3 linked regions of the Neurospora crassa OR74A genome follow. The protein of the gene in region 1 purifies or fractionates together with the protein of each later gene. This does not show direct contact. Links are inferred from orthologs where the notes say so. Each region holds a gene or a part of one and is shown on either strand. Other genes may lie near its edges.

What was found.
Region 2: the proteins of naf-1 (region 1) and hH2Az purify together in Saccharomyces cerevisiae (affinity purification with mass spectrometry; 13 studies listed by BioGRID, with this or other methods). This does not show direct contact. The link is inferred for Neurospora crassa OR74A from reciprocal best matches to the Saccharomyces cerevisiae genes NAP1 and HTZ1.
Region 3: the proteins of naf-1 (region 1) and NCU09488 purify together in Saccharomyces cerevisiae (affinity purification with mass spectrometry; 6 studies listed by BioGRID, with this or other methods). This does not show direct contact. The link is inferred for Neurospora crassa OR74A from reciprocal best matches to the Saccharomyces cerevisiae genes NAP1 and SDA1.

Annotation. Positions count from the first base shown.
Region 1 is NC_026505.1:4,745,774-4,750,214, reverse strand, and holds naf-1 (nucleosome assembly protein), read left to right. Parts: upstream 1-1,565; 5' UTR 1,566-1,839; coding exon 1,840-1,886; intron 1,887-1,963; coding exon 1,964-2,043; intron 2,044-2,121; coding exon 2,122-2,841; intron 2,842-2,898; coding exon 2,899-3,224; intron 3,225-3,289; coding exon 3,290-3,340; 3' UTR 3,341-4,044; downstream 4,045-4,441. UniProt on the Saccharomyces cerevisiae protein: Acidic protein, which assembles histones into an octamer (in vitro). Involved in the regulation of the localization and the function of the septins during mitosis. Involved in the function of B-type cyclins.
Region 2 is NC_026502.1:1,389,964-1,394,379, forward strand, and holds the start of hH2Az (histone H2A.Z), read right to left. Parts: upstream 2,861-4,416; 5' UTR 1,742-2,860; coding exon 1,631-1,741; intron 1,140-1,630; coding exon 1,008-1,139; intron 899-1,007; coding exon 710-898; 3' UTR 1-709. UniProt on the Saccharomyces cerevisiae protein: Variant histone H2A which can replace H2A in some nucleosomes. Nucleosomes wrap and compact DNA into chromatin, limiting DNA accessibility to the cellular machineries which require DNA as a template.
Region 3 is NC_026502.1:4,439,124-4,443,260, reverse strand, and holds NCU09488 (SDA1 domain-containing protein), read left to right. Parts: upstream 1-1,218; 5' UTR 1,219-1,348; coding exon 1,349-1,431; intron 1,432-1,536; coding exon 1,537-3,688; 3' UTR 3,689-3,819; downstream 3,820-4,137. Other genes in the region: NCU09489 (phosphoglycerate mutase), read right to left, coding at 1-740, 795-850.

The sequences.
Region 1 (4,441 bases):
AAGCGAAGGACAACTGTATGCAGTAGGGCTTCTTGCGATCGCATGGATAACTTCCACGATACTTCCCTTACCATCTTGTACATTCAAGTGAGTGGATCAGGCTTTCCGCACGATGACTGGAGATGGGAATGATGGACTCCAGCTAGAATCCTCTTGTCTGACTTCTTCACATTTGTTGACCTGGACGCCGGAGTCACGGAGAAGGATCGGGGCCAGACCGTCCCAACGGGCAGTCAGCAAGTGGGGCAGTCACAGGCATGGGATTTTTCTTTCAACACTGCCCGCCAATCGAATGCCAAGCATGTCCGCTAACGCTTGCCTACTTACATACCTCTAGCCAGAAAGGTCGATGGCGGAGATGGGGGTCGCTATCCACGATTTTTACGATAAGCACAGTGCAACAAGGGTCATTCTGGCCCAAACCTTGTCGGCTTCAGTTGGCGATGGAGATTCGTGGGCATCGCGATGATCACTTGGCAGATGCCGCGAGCGGTCTCACTACACCACAACGTGAGAGAACGTGCTCCATACGTGCCCGTACGTCGTGTACTGGGGTCACTGCAGCATCTCACCTGGACTTAGGTTGGACGCCCACGACGGTCTACGGCCATGATGGTTCAGATCGGTCCGATGATGGTCGCTGAACCCAGCGTCGACTCATAATCGAAGTCATAAGCAGAAAAGTGTGCGTCAAGTTGCCTCTGCTGATGAGGTTTTGACTTGCTGAGGACAGAGTGAATCAGCAGAATTTTCAAGTTTGCCTTCCAAAACCTGCCCGGCTCTGGAGGCCTAATTGAGTTGAGAGACCCTAAACGTTAGAAGCAAATCACCGCAGCCCGACGCCGGTGAGAAGGCGAGATGTAAACACCCGTCCAATATTAGCAGCTCGCAGTTCAGACGAAAAGCAACTTCTAAACTATCTTGCACCTATGAGGTACCTTGTAACTTGTGTATATGAAGCCGGCATGTCACCAATATCATTTACCCTACATCATGTCTCTGGCCGGGATCCCTGGAGAGAACGCTAGCACGCAAGACACGCCAGCCAAATGCTGAAGCATGTGGTGCCAGGAAGCGACGCGCGACGGGCAACCTGGAAATACACTACCTGAATGCGATGTACATGAACGGGCTTTGTACGATAAGAACAACAATGGCATGTTTAGGTTCATCTGGCTAGGCGTAGGTACCTGAGGGGATTTTCAGTTCAGACGAGCAGACCGGGCATGCAATGGCCGAGTGTAGAGTCAAACAAGTGACAGGAGGAGCTTGACCCTAAAAAGACGTGACCCATGACAATGGGCACCTTGCCTATGCTGGAATAGAATTGAAGGTCAAATACCTCTAGGTGGTGGTGTAGGGCAAGCGACAAGACTCATGGGCAGCAAATGGAAGTAGCGGACTGGGGCTGGGTGGTCGCCGGCGCAGTGCAGGCATCATGGAGTGGTCCAACGGGGCGCCTCCCGCTGCAGTGCCCTCGACCCGACTGTCCTGCCCGCACTGGCCAGTGCCCCGCAAATTTTCATAGCAACCCCATTGATAGCTTTTCTCCCCTCCCGGTCCCCTCCAGACCCGACCCTCGCTCAACATTTCTTGCACTGCTGCACAACAAGCCTTCTCTGCCTGGACCGACCGGCAACCACAGAACTTTTTGCCTTTCCCACCAGCACCGGGGCCCCTTCATCAATCTCTACACCCGACCGCTTCTTCAATCCAAATTTGCCCTTCCTTCTCCCATTTCTCCCTCCGACATCCACTGTACGTCGGTCGCAGGGTTCTACCACCGCTTCCTTCTCTGTATCCCAACTCATTTCCTTCTCTTGACCAGAACCAGACACAATGGCCGAGCCCATCAGAAACAAGCGGGCTGATCCCCCCATCGCTCCGTGAGTTTTCATCCCCAGACTTGATGGGATGCCCATCCCGAGTATCGCGTACCGTTACTGACCAGCCTTCGCTTCAGCACCCCCCAGAACACTCCTCTTAACACTGCCCCCATCTCGTCGCACGCTCAGCAGCCCGGTGTTGCCAGCATCAAGGAGGGTGAGTGAAGATTCTTGCTGCTGCTGAGACTATTTGGTAGTTTTCTGGGCTTGTCGCTAAACTTACTGTTCGTTGCAGAGGATCTTGACCGTGCCGCCGCCGCTTCCATCTTCGCCAAGGACCCTAGACTTGTGTCCCTTATCCAGGGTCGTCTCGGCTCTCTTGTCGGTCGTTCGTCCGGCTACATTGAGTCTCTCCCTACCGATGTCAAGCGTCGTGTCGCTGGCCTGAAGGGCATTCAGAAGGAGCACTCCAAGCTCGAGGCCGAGTTCCAGGAGGAGGTCCTCCAGCTCGAGAAGAAGTACTTTGCCAAGTTCACTCCTCTTTACCAACAGCGTGCCGCCATTGTCAACGGCCAGACTGAGCCCACTGAGGACCAGGTCCAGGCCGGTGAGGAGGATGAGGAGGAGGAGGATGAGGAGACCGAGGCCGCCCCCCAGGAGGAGAAGGCTACCGAGTCTGCCGAGAAGGTCTCTGGTATCCCCGAGTTCTGGCTCTCTGCCATGAAGAACCAGATCTCCCTCGCCGAGATGATCACCGACCGCGACGAGGAGGCCCTCAAGTCCCTTACCGACATCCGCATGGAGTACCTTGACAAGCCCGGATTCCGCCTCATCTTCGAGTTCGCTGAGAACGAGTACTTCACCAACAAGACTATCACCAAGACCTACTACTACCAGAACGAGAGCGGCTATGGTGGCGACTTTATCTACGATCACGCCGAGGGTGACAAGATCAACTGGAAGGAGGACAAGGATCTTACTGTCCGCGTTGAGCAGAAGAAGCAACGCAACAAGAGTGAGTTGCAGTTCCAGCTTGAATTTTCTCAAACTTGCTCACTAACAAATTGCACAGCCACCAAGCAGACCCGCATCGTCAAGAAGACCGTTCCTACCGAGTCTTTCTTCAACTTCTTCTCCCCCCCTAAGGCCCCCACTGATGACGACGAGTCTACCACCTCCGATATTGAGGAGCGTCTTGAGCTCGACTACCAGCTCGGTGAGGATATCAAGGAGAAGCTTATTCCCCGCGCCATCGACTGGTTCACTGGCGAGGCCCTCGCCTTTGAGGAGCTCGATGAGGAGGACTTCGAGGACGCCGAGTTCGATGATGAGGATGATGAGGATGATGAAGATGCCAGCGAGGACCAGGATGACGAGGATGAGAGCGATGAAGACGATGTAAGACTTTCTGAATTTTCCCCAACACATGCTATGCTCTGCAGGTATGCTGACAAATTTCACAGGAGGACGGCAGCAAGCCCAAGCAGGAGGCTGCTGAGTGCAAGCAGAGCTAAACGCTGATCGCTGAATGAACACGAAAATGATACCACTATACCACGCAGGCAAGGGGCAGAACGCCCAATGACATTTGGCGTCTGAGTTCCAAATTATTGAGGGTCATGCATGACCGCACCGGGGTGGCCGTGGGCTCAGGAAGAACAGGAGTGTGCGGATGGCCGGAGCTTGTGGTGGATCGATAACCATTCTACAGAATTTGAATTGGTCACATGAGGAGTTGGCTTCAGCACCTGCCTTGACGCTGTGGTTGTCTCTCATAAGTCTTAGCAGGATAGTTCGTCCTGACCCCTGAAGCAGTGGCACGTCAGAGCGCAAGGATGGGAGCAGATATGCGAACTAAACCGGAACAAGGGTCGATTTGTGCGTAAAGGGATGATATTATACGGGACAAAAGCAGTGATTCTAGGAGGATTTAGGTGTTGATTTCATAGTACAGCATTGCAGGTGTTTCTACATCACAAACCGTCATCCAACAGCGTGACTCGATGTAGACTGTCTGACTGTCAAGTTCATTAGGCCACGACACCAGGGGCGGATGACTTCTCCAAGGAGTTCTCAGATGGATGTAAATCGTCATGACCCTTGTTAGCCTCGCGTGATGTAGATAGAGTAAACCTCAACGGACGAAAGAGTCGCCGAGCTGAGGCAGTGCGTGCCTGGAAGGCCTGAAGGATGGGAGCTGGGCTTCTGGAAATTTAGTTGGCGATGTCTCTACTGACACGCAAGCTTGGCGGCTCCCGGTCGAGTTTGAAGGTAGGTAGTAAGTACCTCGAGACTTGGAAGTAAACTAAATAATGGAACCCGGGAAGTTGTTACACTATTCAGTGCTCGGGACACGAGGAGAAATAAGAGACCATCTGCGCTGAATCGAGTGAAAGCTGTCTACATGAAAACATACTGGCTCGGACAAAGTCAAGGGGACAACAAAGCCATGTCAGGTCGCTGTGGCAGTTTCCTATACATTGTGCGGACAGTCAGCTCGATTCTTGCGAGTCCTTCTTCTCCTGAGGTGGAAAAAAAAGAGGAGCCCGGGCAAGAAGACGGGAAGTACGGATAGCATGGGAAGAACACACGCCACATCTCATATTTCCATTTTT
Region 2 (4,416 bases), on another chromosome or scaffold:
TAATAAGAATTGGTATCGCAAATTTTCAAGGCTCTTCCTTGTAGCCTTTATTCCGCCACTACCTGCAACCAGTACCAACCGACACGTTCATTTAACGTGTCCTGATGTTTTCCTCGCTAAGCCCTCATGGCCGAGTCGTACTATAAAAAAAACGATAAAGAAGATTCATGTTGTTACAGATATCGTAAAAGAGCTGCTGTCGCACGCCGCGCCGTGACGAGGGGAGATTGCTCGCCGTTCCCAGTGTGTGGTGCACTCCAAGATGACATTATACAGTGAATGGTCTCCCTGCTCATCGCCACCCAAGCGGCTTCCACGTCTGGATGATACAGAACGCTTCGCTTTTCGTGTGTGTTCCGAACGCACCACTCTGCTGGAAGTGTCGCAAGGGAAGTTCGCCGTCGTCTATGCGCTGCGCTTGTTGCCGTCGCAGACACCGGGAGTGCTCGGCTTTTTCAAGCCATGGTTCGGTGGGCCCCAAGCCCGTGTGCGTATCCCAACAACAAATAATAGGAAGAAAATACCCAACAATACAGCGGCGTTAGTGTTGGATTAGCGAAGACAATCCCCAACCCCCCCGGCATCACCCCGTGACATCCCTTGAACAAGCCGATTGCTGTCCTGCCCGTCAGCCCGGAGCGGGGCTAGAGAGATGCAAGACAGTGTGCGAAACGTGTGCGACGTCGAGTTTTTCGGTGCAGTTGTGGACTTAAGCCTCCTGAGCCTTGGCCTTCTTCTTCTGCTCTACCTTGAGCAGAAGGGCGCGGTTAATGTGGGGGAGGACACCACCGAAGGCGATAGTGGCGCGGATGAGGGTATCAAGCTCCTCATCTCCACGGATGGCAAGCTGAAGATGGCGGGGAGTAATACGCTTGACCTTCAGGTCCTTGGCAGCGTTCTATACAACGGAAATCATTGAGTTAGCCATAAAGCAGGTAAAACTTGGAAATGGGAGCCTCCTCGTCGCCAAGCAATATGGCCGAGCGGATGGGGTATGAATGACTTACACCCGCAAGTTCGAGGACTTCAGCAGTCAAATATTCCAGCACGGCAGTAACATAGACGGCAGCCTTGGCGCCAACGCGCATCTTGTTTTGGGTGTTCTGCTTCAGGAAACGCTTGACACGACCGCAAGGGAACTAATTAGATTCAAGTCAGCATGGCGCATCAGACACACGGCAAACTCCAGAGGACGGAAATGCACGCCGCAGCTCCGCCTCGTTGTCAGAGCGAGAAATCCAAAGTTAGGGACCGGAACAAGGTCCGGGTGCGGGGCCAGGGCGAGAGAAGGATGCACAGAACAACGCGTCCATATGAAGCCGAAATAGTATCGCGTACGGGGCGCAATGGGGGTTTTTTTCTTTTACCCAGCGGCGGGGTTGTGTGCGACCGACGTGTGAGGCAGCGAGTTCGCGTTCTTCGTAGGTTGGCACTATGGGGTTGTCCGGAAATGTAGGGGGCTCGGTGGACGCGTTGTGGTGTATCGGCGTGATTCCATCGACATCTGACGACAGGGATGGCGGATGCGAGCAAAAAAAAAGTTGGTTGATGAGACGACGTCGATGGTGCAGATCGGAGCAGGAATTGAAAGCGGACAGAGCCATGAAGCTCGTCAACTATAAAAACGTACCTGAAGACCAGCGCGAGCAGAATGGCTCTGCTGCTTCTTGGGACCTTCGACGCCCGAGGTCTTTCCACCCGAGCTCTTGCCGCCAGACGACTTGCCCTTTCCGCCAGCCATTGTGTTTGTTTGTTTGTTTGAAGGGATTGAACGGGGTGGGATGGTTGTGCGCGGGATGGGCGGATGGACGTAGTGTCGAGAATAAAACCGGTGGTCGTGACGATGCTGGATGTTGATATTGACGGGGCAACGGCGCGGGATTTGCGTGGAACTGGTGGAAGTGGATGAAGCGGGGTTGGCGGATGGAAAAGTGGTGTTTTGGCCGGAAGGATGATCGCGACGAGGTTTGGTGTTGAAGTTGGCGCCAGGAGACGCTCGAAAATTCAGAAGGGCCGAAGATGCATGCCACTGATGGGCCCTTTGATGTTGTGTCCTTCCAGGTGATTGCCCGCCGTGTTTGAGCGCAACCGCGCCTGAGACATGCGTCCGTACAGGAGGGAAGGTGCCGACGTCCAAGCTAAGCGAAGGGATGGAAGCTCGAGCTCAGTCAGCTAACAGCCAGCTCCCGTGGGTGCTTTGCTTGCCGTGTGTGCTGATTTGTCGCTGTTGCTGATTTTTTTTTTTTTTTTTTTTTTTTTTTTTTTTCCTCCTCCGCAGAGGGAGGGTAGGTAGGTTAGTGTAGGTAGGTAGGTAGGTACCTTGGGGTAACCTTGGGTACGGCGAGCCAAGCAGACCACTTGACCAATTCGAAGGGAGCTCCGAGGCTTGGCAATATCATGAAGCTCCAGGCAAAGGCCCAGCCAGCAAGGCCTCGAGCCAGCCATGACGACCCAGTGAGGTCCATCTCGAGACAGATAGCCAGACCTCAACTCAGCCTCGCAAGGGCCGTGGCTGACACGGTCTTGCAGAGAACCTTGCCGACATCTCCGCAATGAACGGCCCAAGAAAAGGCCTCCCAGGACAAGTCCATGTGATGCAAGGGGAGTCGCATACCTCACTGTTGCCCGACGTTGAGAGCACCTTTCTGGTTTGAAGCCATGCAGAGATCCGCGACGGGCACTGTCCGGGCCGGCCACCCAGCTGGTTAAGGCGGGCCAAAAGCCGTCAGAGTCTTTGGCAATGAAGGCCTGAGCATCTTCACAGCAGATTTGCACGCTTTTCCGAGGCTGGCGTGGTGTTGCAGAGTGTCTTGAAATGTTGCTCAGATAGTGTGATTCGGAGCCTTGGGTGAGCCTTTGCCAATCTGCCGCTGGTTGTTGTGGTCCGTGACCTTACTCCAAAAACTCGTCGCAGCCGTGCCAAGCTTTCACGTTACGACATTTCAACTGGCGCAGTGTCTGCCAGCTGTCTGCGCTTGAGCAGACCGAGCTGTCTGTTTTCAGTGGTGACTGAGGTTCAATTCACAACGAACTATGTAAGCTCCCAACATGAACGCTTCAAACAACGTAAATCGTGCAAAGATGCACACAGTAATTGTGTGCCTTCTTCACCACTCTTCAATTCCCTCTCGCAATCCTCGCCAACCTCTCAGCCTCACATCTCCGTCTTTCCACTCTCTGCAATACCTCCAGCCTATGACGGTCGTTGCTGATCGGGTCCTGATGCCCCGAAACCCGATCCGATACTTGGGTGGTAGTGTCGTGGATGTATCTGTTCATCATGGAGCCGTACTCTCTTCTTCTGGTGACACAAGATGCATTAGATAACTACTTTTGCCATTCCGCCTGTAATATGGAAGCCTTTGGATTATGTTTGTAGCTCAACAGCCAACTACCAAAGGGATGCCGACGTACGACGGGATTCTAGGATTGGGAAAAAGATAAAAAGAAACCATGGCAAGACCCACTTCGGAGCTTGGGCCGGTGCGGGTAGATCCCCGGCTCCCGATGTGGGGCCGACCGCCGCGCCATTTGAGCCATTGCCGCTACCGGTGTTGCCAGCACCGCCGCTGTAATATGTGCTCATGATGAAATGTACTATCCGACTGTCGTATATAGTGTACGCTACTCCAGCGGGAAACTCAGTAGGTAAAGATGATGGATAGAGGTAGCATGGTAAGTAAGGTGGTGTGCATAGGTCTACTTCGAGGAAAGAAAAAAAGACTTTGTTCTCAGGCAGCGAGGAAGAGCACTTTATATCTTCTTACATGTAGGTGTTCATCCTCCAAGATGATCATCAAATCGTACTCGTAATCCCTGGAACTTATGGCAACGTGCCTGCTCTCACCAACCTCTGTGACCGTTGCTTGTCATGAGGCAGAACACTCGCCTCGATCTGGCTGTGAGCCCATGTTAATGCCCGCGCTGGGCGGGTTGAAAGCAGCAACAACCCAACAGAATAAGAAAAAACCGAAGGGATTGAGGCGATGACGATTCAAGACAAAGTGAGTGAACTGAATAGAACTGATTCGTCAGATAGTCATATGGAAGCCATCGGCACTCGGGACTCCGTGGTATACCGTGGTATAATAGGCGTGAAGGGTGAAGCTTCCGCGCGATGCCTAGCAGACAGCCCTAGGCTCCATTCCACCCCTGTAACCGAAAAACCGCTGCGGGTGGAGTGAAGCATGTGACATAATAGATAGGATAGAAGAGAAAATGCGCAGTGGAATCGAGGACTGGTGGGTGTCACCCCTGCTCAGAGCGAAGTGAAAGTCAGTGGTGGTCGTCCTGACTGTAGAGATTTGGAGACCGAAAGGGTGAAGTCGTAGGAAGCGCTTAGCCAGCCAAGCCGTCGGCGGAACACGACTTGGACCGATGCACGACGAACGTTCAAGGGAAAAGGCAGGACATCAC
Region 3 (4,137 bases), on another chromosome or scaffold:
TGAAGAACGAATCCATCGTCTTCTGTTTACTGTCAAACTTGGCACTGCCAATGCCACCCCTGGTCCTTTTCAGGCCGTGGAGGTGGTCAAGGACGTTGACCCGGACGACAGTCAACTGAGCAGTCGACTTCTCGGTTTCCTCAGACGAGGCGATGGCATCCACCTTCATCTCGAGATATCCAGTGTTGCTCCAAGCAGCGAGAAATTCTGACCTTCCGGCAACAGAACCCGACGACAGCTTTGCGTTGGCAAGCCTCGTCATCTCTTCTGGGGCATAACGCGCCAAAAGTGATCTCAAGAGCGAGTTGAGTATCAAGCCATGCGCGACAACCACGACGGAGGTGTTGGTCTTGCAGTTATCACCATTGGAGATACTGTCCAGCAGCGGATCCAGGTGGGCTTGTACGAAATCGGTGGCTCGCGCGCGCATCTCGTCATGCGTTTCGGCATCGGAATGCGGTGTGCCAAAGCGCTTCCCCTCGGCAGATCGGAAATCGCGTTCGCGAAGCTCGACAACCTGTACTAGTTGGAGCTTGGAATGGTCCGTATCTTCCTTCTCCGTTGCCTTCGTCACCTGGGCGTCCACAATGGCCTGGGCAGTACTGACTGCGCGCTGCAGATCGGAAGAGAAGATGTGCGTGACAGGACCAATTGAGGACGACCGCGAGGCAAAGTGCGAGGCTAGACGACGTGCCTGCAAGACACCGTGGGTGGTGAGGGGGGAGTCACGAATGCCTGCGCTGGGGAAGGTCAGCCAATTGTCCTGTGGACATGGTCTGCTGGATTGAACGTACTATAAACCGGCCACGTTGTCGACGGTCTCTCCGTGTCGAACGAGGAAGAGCCGCATGTTGTTGGGAGATGAAGGACGAAACGAAAGACAGCATATGCCAATCGTCTCGGTTGTCCAAGTTCAAGTGGCGGATGAGGAATGCATCATCGCCGGAATGGGAATAGCAAACCGCGGGGAGCAGTTGCTGCCGTCAATCGCCCAAGTAAATGGTGATTTGTGGAAAGCAAAAGGGAAAAGAAATCCAAGAAAAAGCGCGGCAGAAAAAGAAAATTTAAAAGGGCACAGTTCAAGTGGGGTACAGAATGCCGCGCTGTCCAGGGTCCTCCCCGCCTGGAACGTCCACCAACTCCACTGGCGCAGCTGATAAGGATCCGATAAGGAATCAATTTCCCAAAAAATTCTGGACCGCTGAAGCTCCAGGCAAAGCGAGGGTTGAGGATTGTGCCAGAGGACTGGAACTGAACAGAGCAGAGGGAACCGGCTTGCACTCTCGTTGCGACTCGCATCGATCTCAACATCACTCAGAATACCGTCCTTCCCGCTCCAGCCGCCAAGATGCCCAAGAGAAAGGTGGCCGCCCTCGAGAAGGTCGACGCTGACCTGGTCAGTTTGCAGTACAAGATCAGGAGGGATCCCAAGTGAGTTGTTCTTGTTGTTGTCGTCGTCGTCGTCGTCGTCGTCGCCAATTGCTGCCCTCGTCGTCAGTCGCTTCTGTTTACTAACACCCTGGCCTCCTCCTCCAGATCCTATGCCCAAGAGTTTTACGACCAATGGCTCGCATACGACGCCCAACGGCAAATCTTCATCTCGTCCCCTTCCTCCGCCTCCAGCGAAGATAACAAGAAATTCCACGATCTCGTTGACCTCGTCGCGCACGTCGCCGATCTGTACCCCGATGTCACTGCCCCCTACTTCGACCACCTTAAGGAGCTCTTGACTCAACACCATGCCGTTCTCAACCCCGATCTTCGCGAAAAGGTTGTTGGCAGCTTGTCTCTCCTCCGTCGCAAGGATGTCATCGACTCGACCAGCCTGCTTACCACCCTCTTCCCCATTTTAATCTCGACGCCCTCCAAGTCTCTCCGCTCCCTCCTGTATACCAAGATCGTCAGCGACCTGCGCGAGTCCAACTCCAAGGCCACCAACCACAAGCTCAACCGCACCATCCAAACTGTCTTGCACAACCTCGTTACCTCGGACCGCACTTCGACCAAAGGCATGTGGGCCTGCCGCATCACCCGCGAGCTGTGGCGCCGCCAGATCTGGACCGACGCCCGGCCCTGCGACGTCATGAAGGAGGCCTGTTTGTCCGACAACGAAAAGGTCGTCGTTGGTGGTGTCCGCTTCTTCTTGGGTGGCGACAAGGAGCGCGAGGAGATGGAGGACGACTCTAGTGACGAGGAGATTGACATTAAGAAGGTCAAGCATCAGGGCACTATCAACAAGAAGACCAAGAAGCGCCAAAAGGCCATGGAGAAGGCCATGGAAAAGATTAAGAAGCAGGAGCGCAAGAAGCATGCCCCTCATCCGCTGAACTTCTCGGCTCTCCACCTCATTCACGATCCTCAAGGCTTCGCCGAGCAGCTTTTCCAGAAACACCTGCAGAATACCAAGTGCAAGTTCTCCCTCGACAACAAGCTACTGGTCCTCCAGCTCGTCACCCGTCTGGTCGGTCTGCACAAGCTCACCATCATTTCCTTGTATCCGTGGTTCACCAAGTACTTGACGCCCAAGCAACCGTCCGTCACTTCATTCCTCGCTTCTTTGGCGCAGGCGACACACAACCACGTTCCTCCCGACGCCATCGAACCTCTCGTTGTCAAGATCGCCAATGAGTTCGTCTCGGAGGCTTCTGCCGCCGAAGTTGCCTCTGCCGGTATCAACTCTATCCGTGAAGTCGCTTTGCGCCAACCGCTCTGCATGAGCGAGACTCTCCTTCAAGATCTAGTCATGTACCAAAAGTCCAAGGACAAGGGCGTGGTAATGGCCGCCAAGGGTCTTCAGTCTCTTTACCGTGAAGTTTACCCCGAGCTGCTGCAAAAGAAGTTCCGCGGCAAGGAGGCAACCATGGGATTGAAGTCGGGTGAGGTCAAGAGGCTCAAGTTTGGTGAAGAGCAAGTGGAGAGCGGTATTGAGGGTATCGAGCTTCTCGAGAAGTACAAGGAGGAGCAGAAACTCAAGAAACTCGCTGAGAAGGGTGAGGATGCTGATGGAGACGCTAAGATGAAGGATGATGATGATGACGAAGATGGGTTCAATTCCGACGAGTGGGAAGTCGCCTCCAACGATTCTGACTCTTCAACCGGGTGGATCAACGTTGAGCACTCCGATGACGAGGACGAAGGGCCTGCAGCCAAGAAGCAGCGTCGCGACAGCTCAACGGCTCCTGATCTCATCTCCGACGAAGCCATGGCCGCCGCCGCCGAAGCCAACCGCATTTCCAAGCTCGCCATGACCACTATCCTCACGCCCGCCGACCTCGCCAAACTGGCAGAGCTCCGCCGGGAGGCCCAATTAGACAAGATGACAGGCACCGTCTCCAAGAGGAGACAAGAACTTATCGCCAAGCACATCGAAGACGGTGTTACCGCCGACGACATTGAGTTGCCTGCCCAGATTGGCAAGAAGAGCACCAAGGAGGAGCGGGTGGCCATGGCCAAGGATGGCAAGCCTGCGCGTGAGGAGCACAAGTCGACGCAGGCAATCAGGAAATCCAAGAAGGAGGCTGAGGGCAAGTCGTCGACGAACAAGGAGAAGGCGAGAAAGAAGAACTTCCTAATGACGGTTGGTAAGGCGAGGGCGAAGCATAAGAGGAGTTTGGTGGATACCAAGAAGCGTCTGACGGCGCATATTGCTAGGAGTAAGAGCGGAGGAAGGAGAAGGAACGGTATGTAACACGGAGAGTTGTGGAATCGGTGATTCTCTGTTTTCGTAATCGTATTTGTTTGTACCTTTTTTTAGGTTTTGGGAAATTAACTGCGGACGAGTGTTGTACTCGTTCATGTGTAATCACACATTGTTTCCAGTCCTTTCGGGTGAAGTTGGTCCTTTGTTCCATGGTACTTATCCATATCACCCTTTTCTCCCCACGGTCCGTTGTTTGACTCCGCGATGAGGGAAGAACGAGAAACCGTCGCCGTCACCGTCCAAGGGTTACAGATGTAGAGGCACGGTAGAGGTATACTTTTACCCAATACAGATTGAACTTCTAGAGTAGAGGTAGTCTCGTATGCCTCGTCGCCTCACAGACTTCAACTAAAGTCGCCATCTCGTTCAACCTTTGCCTTCAGTATTGACCGTAAACCACTCGGCCAACAAGGTGAACATTGCAGCAGCGTGACAAG